2 linked regions of the Saccharomyces cerevisiae S288C genome follow. The main gene of each other region encodes a partner of the protein of the gene in region 2 in a complex. Each region holds a gene or a part of one and is shown on either strand. Other genes may lie near its edges. A codon is read from its position in the direction of its gene.

Region 1 (4,283 bases), on a different chromosome or scaffold from region 2:
ATCGTTGATTCGCCTTTATATATTCTTGTATTCTTTAAGAGACATGCATTGCGATAATTTCCCCATGATATTCTTAACCTTATGAAGGGTCAGTCTACTGGAAGGTGCATGAAATATGAGTGAACGTATTTTCATTAGCAGATGAGAGACACCGGGATTAAAAAAACTATGTGAAGAATAGTGTTGATATATGATAAAATTATTGTGGAAATCAATAATTAAGAGGTTTTATAGTGTAGTGGTTATCACTTTCGGTTTTGATCCGAACAACCCCGGTTCGAATCCGGGTAAGACCTATTTTTTTCCCCCGCTCAGCTAACTTGTATTTTTAATAGATCTCCCACCATCAGAGGACGAAGAGAGAACTGTATTATCAATTGTGTTTTATTACAATATATTCTAAAAACGAAGATATAGATGTTATCTAGAATTGGTTTTTGTATGTAGCCCTTCTCTCCCGCTTTCTCACTTTTTGAACATTACCTCACTACAGTTGCCATTCAACAATGTAACGAACATTATCCGTAGGTAAAATTTACGACACTTCAAACTTCTAGAAGGAAATAGGCATATACTACGGAACAAAGACAGCCTCTTATTCGTTTTTAAGTTTTTTCTTCTTTTATTAACAAAAAAAAAAATAAAATAAAAAAAATCAATTGAAATTAGAATAGAGTAGAGTAGGTAGAAGTAATATGATGTAAAAAAAGGAAACAAAGATTAAAAAGATGGAAGAAATGGAGAGAAAGAAAATAAAACTTCTGAGAAGAAAATTTTGATAAAAATTATAATGCCTAGTCCCGCTTTTGAAGAAAATCAATGTAAAAATTGTAAAATCTGTTGAGTAATATTATACAATTCCAAACTTGCATCCTCTACAGGTTGATGTTCAGATCCTGTGTCATTGTTATTACTGTTGTTATCATTCGAGCTTGGATTGTTGTTGCTCCCCGGATTTTTAACATCAATTCCTGATCTTTGTAAACGCTCAAAGGTCACATCTGCCATTTTTCTCACTCCGTTAATGATGTCGTCATCATTTTTAACCAAATCTTCCACTTTATCATTATGACTTTCTAGCAATTGTAAAATTGTCCATAGCGCAATGTGTTCAAAGGTAGCATAGTCACTTTTCAAAAATCTAATCAGAAATCCACGAATGCCTTCATTCGGACGATCCCATGCTTCAATAATTTTTGTATAATTATTCACTCTTGAACATAGATTTGCCAAAGCAGCAGCAGCATTACCAGAAACTTCTTGGTTCTGGGAAAAAGTCATAGGGATTAAAGCATCTAAGATATTTGCTTCCAGTAGATCCAATTTGGAGACATCTGCTAGGGCTAAAATAGCAAAACATGCGGAAATTTCACTTTGAACACTAACAGGTGAATCTAGAGCCAGTTCCTTACATTTTTCGACAGCACCACTTTCGAAGAACTCTTTTCTGTTTTTTTCAGATGATGCAGCCAAATTTCTCAAAGTAGATACGGCGTGACATTGAATTTCTTCTGAATCCTTATAGTCCAACAATCTTACTAATGGTTTTAAGAAACCTGCATCAACAATTAAACCTTCATTTAGAGGGTGAATAGAAATGTTTCTAATGCATGCCACACTAGCCAAAACCAGTGGTATAGAATCACTTTGAATCAACTTTACCAAATGAGGCAACCCACCAGCCCTTACAATTTCTAATTGGTAGCTTGTATCGGACGCTAGGTTTCGTAAAGCCAAAGTAGCTTGACATTTTACCCTTGAAGATGGAGAATCCATCAGACTAACCAATTTGGAAACCAATCTTGGCTCAGTTTGAGCCAACTTCTTGCGATTGGCTTCATCCACTGCTATATTTGATAAAGCAGTAGTACAATAGTACTGAACATCAGGATCGGTGGACGACAGTAAAGATACCAATACAGGCACAGCACCTGCATTAACCAATTCTTTTCTATTTTCCTCAGAATGTGTCATATTTAATAATGCACCTGTAGCATTTCTCTGAACTCTTATATGTTTGGATTTAGCTAGCTTAGTCAATGGAATTAAAGCACCAGAAGTAGCAATCTTATGTTTATTGTCATCCCTTGTGGCTAAATTGGTAATGCATCCAACAGCATTACATTGAACTTCTACATTGTCACCCATCATTTGGTTTATTAATGGCTCTAAGCCTCCCATTTCCACAATTAATAATTTATTTTCATTATTAACGGCCAAATTACCCAAGGCTGCACAAGCGGCCACTTGAATCTGTGGATCTTGGCTTTGTAATAATATTAAGATGGGTTCCAGTACCTCTCTAGAGACCTGACGGACGTATTTTTCAGTAATTTCTGCGAATGCCAGAGCGGCGCTCCTTTGCAAATTTAGATTATCTGAATACACCAAAGTAGTTAGGGCCTTTAGTGGACCACCAGAGTAAAAGTCTAATTGGTCTTTATCCTCCAAATACCCTAGTAATAAAGTCACCGCTTCTCTTTCATTATCGGCAATTGGTGAGACACTGGCCTCGTCTGAAGAATCTTTCAAGCAACTACAACATGAACCCATAGTTGCAAATGTATATATAGTACAGAAGAAAGAACACCCTTATAGTTTGCTCAGTTCCTGTCTTCGTAGGATTGGAAATTGGCTAATTGCTTTTTATAGGGTTGTATAAATATATAATACCTTATTTTAACAACAAAAGGAAAAGTAGGAGATTGAACAGCGAGTCAACAAAAAAAAACAGAAAGCAAAGCAGACTCACACAAAAATTTGATCACAATGACAGCACTATTCTGCCTTGAATTGAGAACTAATATATTTCTAATAATGAATGATTGTATTATTATCAATTACTGGAAAGGGTTCATTTTTTCTTTCCACTCGTATTTTTTTCCTTTTCGTTTTGAGTCCTCCTTAAGGGCTCATTACCCGGGAAAGAGAAATTATTCAGATTTTTCTGTTATACCGTTACCTTATTATATAGATGTTCGCAGTTTTCATATTTGTGAGAGCCAACACATTATTGCATTACCGCTACAGATCCCACTTCCTTACCGTATGCTTATACGTATGTATCCAGTTTAGGCTAAAGTAATTCTTGGTTTACAAATCTAATAGCAGGGACCCGTCAGTGACGAAAAGATCACAGTTTTGGAACTTACGCAAAGAAGTTCTCTGTGAATAGGCGCCCTGTGGTATACCTATATCAATCAAAACAGCATCTTCTAGACTTGGCAAATTTGCAATTAAGTTGTTGATGGCAATCAAAGGCCAGCCAGAACAAATAATTCCTGTTGCTTCAATCCTGTCTGAAAAGAAAATATCTGGCATGCCGGATCCCGCATCAAACCCATTTGGAATATCCAAAGACCACACTTTAGTAGATCCTCGCTGTTTGTTACACCATGATATCATGCTTTTAATTCTGCTTTCAATAACTTCCGACGTCCCCGCCAGATCGCTCAATGTACAGTCATATCCCTGCATGGCATCGATGACTATTTCTACAGGGCTATTTAATGTTTCCATAGCAGATTCCAGCGACGATACACTATTAACAATTTTTCCGCCACACTTCTTGTAAATATCTGTTTGCTTTTTGACCATGGAATCCTGTAGTTCATTTTGAGAACATGTAAATAATGTTATGACACGGATATGCCCCGTTTGGCAAAGATGTCTACCCAACGCCAGAGCTTTCGCACCAGATCTGTTGGAATCTGAGGCTAGTATTACTACTAAAGGTTCCGGATTAGAATTTTGTAAACGTAAACGTGCACGGCCACCTAGTTTCTGCTTTAAGAAGAACGATGCGTTTACAGCAAAATTTTCTAGTAGCCCTGCCGAGTTAATACTGAAAAATTCGGACGTGATGCTCTCCATTTCTAGTAGTTGTACTGGTGTAGCCATAGGAATGTTCTGCTTAGTGTTCTTTGATCTGATGGTTGTTTGTTTATTTGCAGCTGGCAAGGATGTTGAGTTGGATCTTGACTGGCTGATGATCATCTGGCCTAATTTAGCTAGTACCTGATCCTTATCATTTATAACTGTACCTTTCGTTTTATCATTTATGGATGGAGAGTTAGTTGCAGAGTGAATTAAATGTGTAATATTCAAAGACTGAGTTATTGGTAGGTATTTGGGATCATCGATATCATCGACATCGTATTCATGTTCATCATCTTCCAAAACCAGATCATCTTGAGCATCTTGTTGCGGCTGAGATTGGTGTGTGCTTTGCTCATTTCTTGAAGAAATCTTGTTCCATGAATCTTTCTTTGCATCTGGAATAA
Region 2 (4,277 bases):
CTATTTCATCATCTTCACCCTCTTGCATAGATAGTTGTGCAAGATCCTCTCTCAATTTTGCTTGCCTCCTCAACATTTCTAATCTACCTTGTATACCGAGTAGAACAGGCAAGATCTCCTCTGAAGATCTTAATGCAGATTTTAAATGCTTGCAATTTTTCTTTGTATGTTTATCCTTTATAGAATTTAACTCCCCACTTTTCAAAGTCAGCAACCACTTAAGCCACAACGGAAGTAAATTTTCTTCATTCCATGGATTTTGTGTTATTGACTTTGATATAGTCAAAAATATCTTACTTAGATGATCTACTGTATTGATCTTGGTTAAGATGAATTTTTTAATCTCTGGTTCTGTCCAACTTCCAGACATCAGATCATCCAATATTTCTGTTGAATTAGCTTCTAAATGCGATGAGAGAATATTAGCAATTTCAACTTGATCTGATTTACTAACTTTCTTGTTTATCTTAGTTTCAGTCTCCTTCTTCTCATGTTGAACTTCAGGCTGAGCTTCTTCTTCTTTCTCTTCTAATTTCTTTTGGTCCGCTTCATCAGCATTATTTTTTTCATTTTTGTTTATTGTAATATACCCCTGAGTTTCAATTTCTTTTAAAGAAATAGATTCAAAGTTGGGTTCATTGACATTTAGCCATGAAATTAGAACCTGTTGCTTGCTGTTTATTGGCGTGAAATCTATAATTTCCAAATCTTCATTTACAACTATAGAACAAACTTTGTCGGCTTCGCCAATCTTATAATTATTAATTTTACCATCAGTAGTCAAAGCCATTATCAAATCATCTAAAGTTTTCAATGTCTTCACTTGGACAGGCCATGATTGGATCAGCTTTGAATCTTCCTTCAAGTCGTAAGCTATTAATTCTTCGTTGTTGGCAATTAACAGATACTTACCGTCTGAAGAAAATTCACATGCTACAGCGTCTGATATTTCAAAACTATACTTAGTAGAGGGTCTTCTCTTTGATGGATCAACAATATAAACCATCTGTTTAGTAATAATGCATACCAATAAAGTGCCATTTTGGTGCAAAATTTGGAAATGAACTATTTCGTCATCTTTACCATCAACTAGCGTAAAAGTCTTTAGAGGTTTCGAATTGTTATACTGTAATTTCTTAACGACTTTATCACTATCCAAAATCCATATATCAGACTCGTCTGTGTCTGCTCCCAAAATCTCTTTTTTATTCTTGATGATATTAACTATATCCTTACCATTAGAAGAGTAAACAACAATTCTTCCGTCAGGAAATCCGTTAACGAAAAAGTTTTCACATCTTTGCTCACTTGATTCACCAGTTCCTTCATCTTCATCTAATTTTCTTTTGATATTGGATGACTGCGTATCTATCAAATCACTACACCACCCAAAGAAGATTACATCTGAAACCTTCATATCGTTTGTCTCATAGTCAATATGACTCACTAATGAACTATTGACCACATAATCCTTAGTTTCATTTAATGGATAAATATCCACATTGTTCTTTTGTGCGACGCTTGCTTGGAATGCAAAACGAGTGGAATCATGCGAGAAGCTCGCCACCAAATCCAAAGAGGAGCCCATTGTGCACTACGGTATGTATATACGTGGAGAATGCCCGGCGTTATATATTGCAACGGAGTACTAATATGTATTTCAACTACATAAAGTTACTTGAAAACTCCATCTCATCGTTAAATTTTTCAAAATTTTTCATGTTTTCTTCTCACCTTTAGAAGAAAAAAATTTTCGCACCTCGTTGTAAGTGACGATGATAACCGAGATGACGGAAATATAGTACATTAGTATCTAAATGGTTGAGAGTATGCTTGTTCAGTGTTCACTTGTGCATCTAGATTACTAGATTTTGTGGGAGATACTTGTATATGCAACAATGATGAAGGCTGGTTTAACGACTTAAGGTCTATCGAGCCCTTGAATGATATGGGGAATGATGTACTTGATTTAAGGGAAGAGGTTGTTCTGGTATCCCGTGAGAGAGAGTCAGGCTCTGCAGTACTTTCCTTTCGGCATTTACTCTGCGACTCAACTTCTGAACTGGAGCTGCAATCCTTTTCCCGGTTATTATCATCCTCACCGTCTGCTTCTCCATTCGGTTCATTTTTGTCTTCTTCCAATTGCTTTTCCAGGTGACAACCTAACAAATCTTCACTCCCTACTTGGTTTAGTGCATTTTCGCTCTTGCTTGTCAAATGGCTGTTACTGTGTTCCTCTTTGGAGGTAAACTCATGTTCCCCTTCCAAAACGTTCATGTCCTTATAGCTTAATATAATAGGTTCGGATCTATTTTTACCAAATTGCAATACTGCTCTTTCACCATCGTTGTAATGCTTCAGCCTCCTTTCGTTTTCAATAAGATCTACATTACAATCGTTATCCTTATCTTCTAGCGTGGTCTCGCGATCACCGTCCAGTACAGTCCACGCGATAGGTAGTAGAAAGGATAGGAGTAGTATAAGAACGTATATTCGTGTGTCCAATTCGCTGGATTGTCTGGAAATGAAATTAAATACTTTACGCCAGCTCAGTTCACCAGCGTCGGGTTGTTCCGCAGTTAAAGCCTCACGCTTATTATCTACCAAGTTTTTCAACCTATCTATAGTGAAAATTAACTCATAGTCCACTTTCTGGGGCTCTATCCATCCCTGTCTTTCCAAATGCTTACGAACTGTTTTTTCAACACCTTTCAAAACGGCTACAGAAAGACCTAACGAAAAGATTCCACGAACCAATGGGGGACGAGTCATGCTTATTATATTTTACAATTATATTTGTAGCTTTTTTGATATTATGCACACACGCAAACGCAACAGTTGTTGGTTCCAATTTTTGTTTGGTTTAATTCCTTCTCTTCCCACACACTCTCTCACTCACAAAAATCTGGACAGAAGAAGCCTCACCTTTTTGTTTTGCAGCTCCTCTTCCCCTTCTCTCCTTCATAAGGGGGTGGGTCCTGATATTTTTCGTCTATTTTTTTTCAAATAGGATTTTCCGCAGTGTAGAAAGAAGAAAGATGCGTCACAAATTAGATAAACTGATAGAAAGAACGATGCTATGTAAATGCATATGTACAGAAAGTGACAGGAGTAGGTATTCCTCACGCGATAGCACCGAGACTCATCAAAATCACCTGGAGTATAAGTTGCAGTGACCAAAAGCCCACCCTTCTCAAGCGTAATGTCCTCTTTTCATCGTCAGCGACGTAGTCGGCGAAGGCATCGTACGCTTCCGCACTTAGATCCCGCATAAGGTATGAATCATATATGGTCCAGGAGCCCTCAAAATCAGACTTTTTCTTTACAATGCGGCATTTGATTGGGATGTATGTCCTGTGAGAATTGATGTACCCGACAATAGGCCTTATCAATGCACTATTGATATACGTTAAGCCAGAAGTGAACAGAGGGACTTCGGCTTTGACATTGTATAGTCTTAAAGAAAAGTCCATAATAAAGTAGTCGTTCGGGTCAATTTCATCAACGGCCGGGGAGAATCCTGGCCCAACCAGAGGAAGGGATGAAGTGTACCTTTTCGCTTTTTTGATTAAGCGGTCACCGATCTCTGTGAGGATTTCTGTCAGTTGCAGCGAGTCAGACGCGGCATCGTCATCTGGTAAAAGAACGTCGCCAATCATGTTCACGCGACCTTCGTTGATCCATCCAAAGGGTCCTTCGATACCGGCGTTCAGGTGATCGATGTCGAGATTGTCTACCCTAAACCTTGTCATTTGCTTCCATAGCAGCGTGGGGTCCTGATGCTGATCATCGGTTCTGAACTTCTTGTGGATAGTGAACATTGAATTGTCGTAGGTCCCATTGATATTGTTCGCATTCAAGATATCGTAGAACAACCAATGTTTTCTCAATTGCGGTAGATCGCAATTAAATATACTCACCTGGAATGGCCTGAACCCATTTGGCTGGTACAGTGTACAAAGGACATCGTTCATGGTGAATTTTGATATTTCAAAGTCGCCCGGCTGGTAGACGTTCAGATAGTTCTTAGGATCGTCGTCCTTTTTCCACACCACGTGTGTTCTGTCTATGACTCCTCTAAGCCCATTTATGGTCACTTCGTCTAGGATACCCTTCCCATTTATCCACTTTCTGAAATTCAACGATATGTCGACTTGGTCAATGGTCAGATCAAACTGTGTATAATTGCCATTATCAAAGTCCTGTTGGTTAACCAATATTCTCTCACTAAGGGCCAACTTCGCCCTTTGCAGGGCATCCTGCTGTGAACCCTTGGT

The links. The genes of interacting proteins can lie anywhere in the genome.
Region 1: the proteins of NVJ1 (region 2) and VAC8 are in contact, whole or in part, in a crystal structure (PDB 5XJG), measured with the Saccharomyces cerevisiae proteins. Residues at the interface, in NP_012065.3 of Saccharomyces cerevisiae: Leu292 (codon at 1,899), Leu293 (codon at 1,896), His294 (codon at 1,893), Ile295 (codon at 1,890), Gln296 (codon at 1,887), Val297 (codon at 1,884), Ser298 (codon at 1,881), Pro299 (codon at 1,878), Thr300 (codon at 1,875), Lys301 (codon at 1,872), Ser302 (codon at 1,869), Ser303 (codon at 1,866), Asn304 (codon at 1,863), Leu305 (codon at 1,860), Asp306 (codon at 1,857), Ala307 (codon at 1,854), Gln308 (codon at 1,851), Val309 (codon at 1,848), Asn310 (codon at 1,845), Thr311 (codon at 1,842), Glu312 (codon at 1,839), Gln313 (codon at 1,836), Ala314 (codon at 1,833), Tyr315 (codon at 1,830), Ser316 (codon at 1,827), Gln317 (codon at 1,824), Pro318 (codon at 1,821), Phe319 (codon at 1,818), Arg320 (codon at 1,815), Tyr321 (codon at 1,812); in NP_010903.3 of Saccharomyces cerevisiae: Leu69 (codon at 2,349), Ala72 (codon at 2,340), Glu73 (codon at 2,337), Glu76 (codon at 2,328), Val103 (codon at 2,247), Ala104 (codon at 2,244), Cys106 (codon at 2,238), Ala107 (codon at 2,235), Gly110 (codon at 2,226), Asn111 (codon at 2,223), Lys119 (codon at 2,199), Glu141 (codon at 2,133), Asn145 (codon at 2,121), Gly148 (codon at 2,112), Cys149 (codon at 2,109), Thr151 (codon at 2,103), Asn152 (codon at 2,100), Ala154 (codon at 2,094), Thr155 (codon at 2,091), Arg156 (codon at 2,088), Lys160 (codon at 2,076), Arg182 (codon at 2,010), Arg185 (codon at 2,001), Asn186 (codon at 1,998), Gly189 (codon at 1,989), Leu192 (codon at 1,980), Asn193 (codon at 1,977), Thr195 (codon at 1,971), His196 (codon at 1,968), Arg201 (codon at 1,953).

The regions. Positions count from the first base shown.
Region 1 is NC_001137.3:127,095-131,377, reverse strand, and holds VAC8 (protein anchor VAC8), read right to left. Parts: upstream 2,554-4,283; coding exon 817-2,553; downstream 1-816. Other genes in the region: YEL014C (uncharacterized protein), read left to right, coding at 2,770-3,075; EDC3 (Edc3p), read right to left, coding at 3,094-4,283. UniProt on the Saccharomyces cerevisiae protein: Functions in both vacuole inheritance and protein targeting from the cytoplasm to vacuole (cvt). Involved in the formation of nucleus-vacuole junctions (NVJs) during piecemeal microautophagy of the nucleus (PMN).
Region 2 is NC_001140.6:489,242-493,518, reverse strand, and holds NVJ1 (Nvj1p), read right to left. Parts: upstream 2,773-4,277; coding exon 1,807-2,772; downstream 1-1,806. Other genes in the region: UTP9 (Utp9p), read right to left, coding at 1-1,588; MDM31 (Mdm31p), read right to left, coding at 3,123-4,277. UniProt on the Saccharomyces cerevisiae protein: Involved in the formation of nucleus-vacuole junctions (NVJs) during piecemeal microautophagy of the nucleus (PMN). NVJs are interorganelle interfaces mediated by NVJ1 in the nuclear envelope and VAC8 on the vacuole membrane.